2 linked regions of the Sus scrofa genome follow. The protein of the gene in region 1 interacts with the protein of each later gene in a pairwise test. Links are inferred from orthologs where the notes say so. Each region holds a gene or a part of one and is shown on either strand. Other genes may lie near its edges.

Evidence for each region.
Region 2: the proteins of CIB3 (region 1) and SERTAD1 interact in binary tests that used the Homo sapiens proteins (3 or more experiments, as listed by UniProt). The two-hybrid records come from large-scale screens. The link is inferred for Sus scrofa from reciprocal best matches to the Homo sapiens genes CIB3 and SERTAD1.

Annotation. Positions count from the first base shown.
Region 1 is NC_010444.4:61,410,682-61,413,613, reverse strand, and holds part of CIB3 (calcium and integrin-binding family member 3), read right to left. Parts: intron 2,534-2,932; coding exon 2,386-2,533; intron 1,302-2,385; coding exon 1,106-1,301; intron 1-1,105. UniProt on the Homo sapiens protein: Acts a an auxiliary subunit of the sensory mechanoelectrical transduction (MET) channel in hair cells. Plays a role in regulating hair cell MET channel localization and function.
Region 2 is NC_010448.4:48,699,581-48,703,956, forward strand, and holds the start of SERTAD1 (SERTA domain-containing protein 1), read right to left. Parts: upstream 2,869-4,376; 5' UTR 2,695-2,868; intron 730-2,694; coding exon 10-729; 3' UTR 1-9. UniProt on the Homo sapiens protein: Acts at E2F-responsive promoters as coregulator to integrate signals provided by PHD- and/or bromodomain-containing transcription factors. Stimulates E2F1/TFDP1 transcriptional activity.

The DNA of each region.
Region 1 (2,932 bases):
AAATGTTGATATTTTCCAACTTACACAATGACTCAAGGACATCTTGTAGCTTAAAAGCAGTCATAGGGAGCTCCCATTGTGGCAGAGTGGGTTAAGAACCCAACTAGTATCCATGAGGATGTGGGTTCAAGCCCTGGCCTCACTCAGTGGGTTAAGGATCCAGTGTTGCCACAGGCTTTGGTGTAGGTCACAGATGGGGCTTGGATCTGGTGTTGCTGTGGCTGTGGTATAGGCCTCAGCTGTAGCTCCCATTTGATCCCTAGCCCAGGAACTTCCATATGCCACAAGTATGGCCGTAAAAAGAAAAAAAAGAAAAAAGAGCAGCCACAGACAATATGTACACAGGTGGGCATGCCTGTGTACCAATAAAACTAGCAATGGACACAGAAATTTGAATTTCATATCATTTTCATGTGTCATGGAGTATGATTATTCTTTGATTTTTCCCCCCAACCATTTAAAAATATAAATACCCTTCTTAGTTCACAGGAGGCATGGAAAAAAGTGGCTGGCTACCCCCTGCATTAACTCGCTGAATCCCCACTTTCTGCCCTGCAGCAGGGGCTCTGATTCTCCCCAGGGCTGCCAAGCACAGTTGTGTAGTCTGTTCACTGCAAAATGTTCAGGAAAGTGAGGGCTGAAGTCAAAGCGTGTTCCACTCACCCAAAGAGCTGTGACCCTGTGACACAGGAGGTGTCAACAGGGTGTCTAATTATTGCCATTTTAGTTTATTTATTTTTATGGCTTCATCAGTGGCATATGAAGTTCCCAGTCCAGGGATTGAATCCGAGCCACAGCTGCAACCTACACCACAGCTGCAGCAACACCAGATCCTTTAATCCACTGCTCTGGGCCGGGCTGGAACCCACATCTCTATAGCCACCGAGCCGCTGCAATCAGATGCTTAACCCACTGTACCACAGTGGGAATGCCAATTATCCACATTTTAAACACGCAGGGACTGAAGACAAGGAGGTTGGGAAAATTTCCCGAGGTCACCAATGAATGACCAAAGGAACTTTCACAAATGGAGTCTGTGAACCTGTTTCATAAGGGCGCCTCTCAGAGGTGGGAACTGACTGTGTGGGGCAGTGAGGAATATCACCTGAGGAAGTCTGGTGCCCGCAGGATCATGTTCTGGAAGTCTTCCAGGGAAAGCCGCCCATCATGGTCCCCATCAGCCTCATCCAGCACCTTCTCACACACCAGGCTCACCTCCTCAGCACTCAGCTCTCCTCGTGTCAGCTTGGTCACGGTCTGCTCCAGGTCCCACGCACAGATGTAGTCATCGTTGTTAAAGTCTGTACAGCAGAATGGAAGGGGACATGAGGGTGAGGGGACAGCAGGGTGCAGGCAAGCCAGGCTAGTCATGGGTATATCTTGTCCCCGTGTTACAGCGGAGGAAACTCAGGCACTGGAAGGAACACAAGACCCTGGGGGTAAGAGCTGGATCTTGCTTTGGAATTGGGCAGGGACCTGCTGGGAAGTCATTCATTCACTCAAGTATTTATTGAGCACCTACTATGCGTCAGGCATGTGATAATTGTTTCTTATTCATCCCCTCTTTCAACAAGTATTTATTGAGTGCCTACTGTATGCCAGGCACTGTGATGAATTTTCATTCATTCATTCATTCATTTGGCAAATATTTATTTATTTTCTTTTTAGGGCCACACCTGCAGAAGTTCACTGGCTAGGGGTCAAATCAGAGCCACAGCTGCCAGCCTACACCACAGCCACAGCGACGCCAGATCCAAGCTGCATCTGGGACCTACACCAGAGCTTGCAGCAATACTGGATCCTTAACCCACTGCATGAAGCCAGGGATCAAAGCCACATCCTCATGGATACTAGCTGGGTTCTTAGCCCACTGAGCCACAGTGAAAACTCCTCAACAAGTATTTATTGAGTACCTACTATGTGCCAGACACAGAGAGAGATGGTGTACAAAACACACCACCCCTGACCTTGGGTCTCCTCAGAGAGAAATTATAAGTGAGCAGATGAAGGAACAATAAATTAAGCAGCATTGCTCCATGCTAGGAGAGAAATACTATGTGGCATGGAGAGTCACTCGGGGCAAGGGCTACTCTGGACCTCAATTTCGAGGTAAGAAGGAGCCAGGGGAAAGGTAGTCTAGACAAAGGGCACAGCAGAGGCAAAGGCCTGAAAGCAGAAGGAGTTTTGTGTTTGGGAGAAAGAGCCAGGCCAGTATGGCTGGAATGGAGTGAGCAAAGGGATGAGGTGGGAGGTACCAGAGCAGGGTGAAGGACTGGGCCATGCAGGACCTCAGAGCCCTGGGGGAGATATTTGTGACAGCAGGGCATTCCCTGGCCCAGGACCCACCCTTGTTCCCACTTCCCCACCCCGGGGCCCTGCACACACCATAAATTTTAAAAGCATAGTAGGCTTTGAGGTCCCGGGGAGCCATTTCACTCATCACGGAAAACATGTCCAGGAAGTTATCCAAGGTCATGTGTCCATCCCCATCCTCAGAGAAGACCTGGGCAATCCTTTCACGGAACGGGTTGTCCTAGAAACAGGAAGCGGGGAGCCCATCCCTGACCAGGATCTTGTGGTGGGGGAGGTTCTATAGTTATCACTCCCTCCTTCCTGGGAACCTCCAAGTACCCTTCACCAAGACTCCCTCCCTCCCGTGGTTCCTGGAGAGGACTTCTGGCAGCTCCATTCTCCCCCCCCGCCCCCGGGGTCTGGGTGACTGTTGACCCCACTTCCAGCTCCAGAAGAAGTCACATGACCCAGGAGAAGCCAATCAGAGATTCCCATTCTCCTGGCAACTGTGATTGCCTCTGGGTTGGGCATGTGACTCAAACTGGCCAATCAGAGGCTGCCCTGGGACAGTTTCTGAAAAGTTTGGATGGAGAGATCTGCTTTCTGCTTGTTGCAGAGCTGATGGGAGGAAATCTGGGTC
Region 2 (4,376 bases), on another chromosome or scaffold:
CCCTGGGGGTCAGCGCCCCGGCCCTGGTGGCCGCTCCAGTGCCTGTGTGCCTACCAGCACGTCCATGAGGTAGTCCAGCTCGGCCTCGTCCAGCTCTGGAGCTTCCTCCTTGCCTGGCCCACCCTCCGGGCTGGATTTGTGGCCCTCAGAGGCTGGTGCCCAAAGTTCACTGTCATACATGGAGGTGTCAATGTCCTCAAACAGGCCCTCAAGCCCATCGTCCAGCAGACAGCCAGTGGCCGGGCCCAGTAGGTCCAAGGCACCCAGGCTGGGTGGGGCTCCCCCAGTGGGGCGGCCTGGTGGCCCCTCATCTACCAGGGGCTGGGGGGCCTGACTCAGGCCCTCAATATGGCTGAGGTCCTCCAGGAGGCTGGCCATGGAGGCCGAGAGGGCGGCGTCCGAGCTGGTCAGCAGGTTGTCCACCACACCAGGGGATGTAGGCGGGGTGGGCACAGGTGGCAGAGCAGCCGCGGGTGCCATGGACGCCTGGATTCGCCGTAGCGTGTTCACAACCAGCACCAGGTGCCGCAGGTCCGGCTCACTCTGCCGCAGGCTGTGATGGAGCTTGAGCACCGAAAGGTCGAAGAGGGAACTGGAGGCCACCGACTGGGGTGCCTGTGCCACTGCTGGGTGGCCAGAATCCAGCCACCAGGCGTCAACTGCCAGGGCTTCCTTCTCCTCCTCCTCCTCCTCCTCCCGCTTTCGCTTCAGGCCCTTGCTCAGCATCATCTGCAAGGAAGGACAGTCAGTCAGTTATGGAAAGCCAACGTGAAGTTCTGACAACTGCTGTGTGATCTTGGGCAAATCACTTAACCTCTCTGACCTTAGCCTTTCTTAGGGAAACTTTAGAATATGAATGATATTTGTATCTATTTCCAAGAGGTTTTGTTTGTTTGGTTTTGGTCTTTTTAGGGCCACACCAGCATTATATGGGAGTTCCCAGGGTAGGTATTGAATTGGAGCTGTAGCTGCTGGCCACATCCACAGCAATGCGGGATCCGAGCCTCATTTGTGACCTACACCACAGGTCACAGCAACCCTGGATCCTTACCCACTGAGCGAGGCCCAGGAGGGAACCCTCATCCTCATGGATAAGAGTTGGGTTTGTTACCCCTGAGCCATGACAGAAACTCCCCTAGAGGTGTTTTAAGGAATAAGTGAGATACGAAAAGAACTTACAACAGTGAATACGTATACAATAACTCCCATAAATAATACTATTAATATAACTATTATTTATTTCTTCAGTGAAACATGTAAAATGTCCAATAGTCTAAACTTTCTTTTAACCTGCGAGGCAGCTGTTTCACGTGCTTTAATCTAATATTTATTGGGGTGCCTACTAATAGTATCAGACAACCAATACATAAACAAATACAGGAAGTGTTAGAAGGTGCTAGGAAGATACCAAAAGGATCTGAGCATAGTCAGGGAAGGCTCCCCCTCCGAGGTGACTTTGACAATCTTTGTTTGTTTGTTGGCTGGGCCTGTGGCATGTTGAGGTGACATTTGAAATGAGCCCTTAAGTATGAGAAGGAAGTAGCCATGGAAGAACCTGGGGGAAGGCATTCCGGGAATAAAGGACAACCGCAAAGGCAAAGAAAGTCTTAGAGGCTGGAACAGCTTGAACTGAAAAAAAACTCTGAGGTCAGTACACAGGGCGACATGGGGGCAGGGAGGGAGAAGAGCGAGTTGGAGAGGAGGCAGAGGCAAGGAGCTTGGAGTTTATTGTGAGTGTGGTGGGCAGTCACTGAAGAGTTCTGAGCAGGGAAGAGAGTCGCGTTGTGGACTGATTAGGTTTCCAGAAGATCCCCTAGGCTGCTTTGGGGAGCAGGGACAGGGAGGGAGGCTGGAAGAGTGTGGCACTGCGATCCATTGGAGGCTTGGGGTGGGCGATGATGGTGACTTGGGAGTAAAAGGCGGTAGTGGCCATGGAAGGAAGTTGGTCGATTCAGGATTTATTTGAGAGGCAGAATGGACAGAGCTTGCCGGACAATCCTGATAGGCACAGGGGTCACCGAGAGAAGTTTGAGAACCCACACTTTGCCCGGGGTGGTGCCCTGGCCCAACCTGATTTTTTAAATCGGGCAGCCTGCAGGGTACAGTGGGTACTGGGATCCTTGCCTAGCAGGACTTTAAGACGGACCGCTCACACTACTCAAAACTGGGTCCTCTCTTCCTTCCCAGCCGACCCGGGAGTCCGGAACCGCAGGAATTCAGCCCCCACCCCCGACTCCTCCCCCGTGTTCCGGCGCCCCCTAGCGGCCCCAGGACGGCTTTCTTCCGGGGACTCCGGCTCCTCAGACCCCCCCGGACCCTTTATGCTGCCGCGCGGGACGTGAACGTTCCTGCCAGCCGCCCGGGACCGTGCGAGCCGGAATACCCAGAGAGCTGTTCTGCTCTCTCGGCCTCCGCTCGCTTCCGGAAGGCAGTGGAGGCGACTCCTCCCGAAGCGGCGGCGGCGGGGGCGGGTGAGTCACACAGCCGGAGCCAGAGAGCCGGCGCCTCCGCCCCCTTCCCGGGCTGCGGCGTGATTCACCCGGCCCGGCCGGGGCGGACGGCCCTTAGAGGCCCGTGCGTCTCGATTCCAGACAGCCCTGGTTCGCACCTGCCGGACGCAGGGATCGAACCTGCCAAAGGACCCCGCGGCCAGTACCCCTTCTTTCCCCTGGTTTCTTCCCTTCATTTACATACCCAGCTCACAAACTGCCAATCAGGACGAAGAGGGAGCCACCCGCAGCCAATCAGGAAGCGGTGGCGGCAGCATTGCTCGCTCACTCTCCTCCAGCAACCGGAGCCTGGCTTGAGAGACGGAGTTCTGACTCCAGCGCACGACTTCAGGCTCTCCACTCCTCTTAGCTACCGCCCACTCCCCTGGAGGCCCCGCCCTCCACTCAGGGATTGGTCCTAGATGGCGATGGGCGGGGCCTATAGGGGGCAGGTTCGAAAGGAGGGGAAGTGGTCTTCAGGGCGCATGTCCGGGCAGCTTCGTGAAGGAACCGGGGAGAGAAGGTGGGGTGGCTCTTTGCCCTGTGGGACGGTAGAGGGTGGCGTTTGTGTCTCTCCTTGTGCTGCCCCCTCACACCTACCCCCGGCCCCGCCAATTCCAGCAGTTGAACTTCTTACTCACCCAGCCCCAACAGGGGTCTACACTCTAAGCCAGATAGACCCGGGGTTCAAATTCTCACTCGATGCGAGAACTTGGAAAGACGCTTGACATCTCTGAGTCTGTTAAATGGGAGATCTTCTTGCCTAGCTCTTGAGAGTTAGTAAAATTAAAATAAGGTCGTCTCTGTAAAAGCACTATATCAGACGCTACAGATGCTGGGCAGGTGTACTCAATTGTGGTTACAGGAACTAGGAAGGGAGGGGTGGGATGTCCCTGGAGCCCCTTCTTGGGCTCCCTTCCCTAAGTAGCTGTGTGACTTTGCACAAATGTTTTAGTTTCTTAGGAGCATCTCCGTTTCCCCACCTCTAAAATCAGACAAATAGCATCTGGCTCAGAGGGTTGTTTTTTTTTTTTTTTTTTTTTTTTTTGTCTTTTGTTGTTGTTGTTGCTATTTCTTGGGCATATGGAGGTTCCCAGGCTAGGGGTCGAATCGGAGCTGTAGCCACTGGCCTACGCCAGAGCCACAGCAACGCAGGATCCGAGCCGCGTCTGCAACCTACACCACAGCTCACGGCAACGCTGGATCGTTAACCCACTGAGCAAGGGCAGGGATCGAACCCGCAACCTCATGGTTCCTAGTCGGATTCGTTAACCACTGCGCCACGACGGGAACTCCAGAGGGTTGTTTTAAGGATTAAAAAACAATTGGTGCAAAACGTTGGAAGTGGTGTGTGACAACGTGTCCTTTCGTAGTAATGGCTGTTGTGGTAATAGCACAGTTCAAGGGGAGACACGCCGGATGGGATGAAGGTAGACAGCAGTTTTATACTTGTTGGCTAAACTGACAATGGGTCTTACCTTCTTCAGTAGCTCGTTTGCTAACTCTTCAGGCCCTATGGGAAGAACTGTTTGTGAATAAAGCCCTTGACCAAAGTAAGCCATCAAAAATGCTAACTAGACTGGTTGATTCAGACAGCGATTATCAATGGATGCTCAATCTCAAGTGTCTAGATCCAACTCCAATTTCTAGGGAACAGAGAGTGAAAAATTAAACACGAAGGCAATCAGGCAAATACACAATGTAGGCTGCCTACAGCACCACAGGGTTATCCTATCAGAAATTCAACTTCAAGAAAACACAAGAAGGGATTGGGGGAGGTAGATATTTCAGAATACCAGAGACTATATAATTTCTTTATTAAAACCAAATAGGCATCTGAATCTGCATTCAATCATGATTGGGGGCTGGGGTGGGCAGAAACTCCTA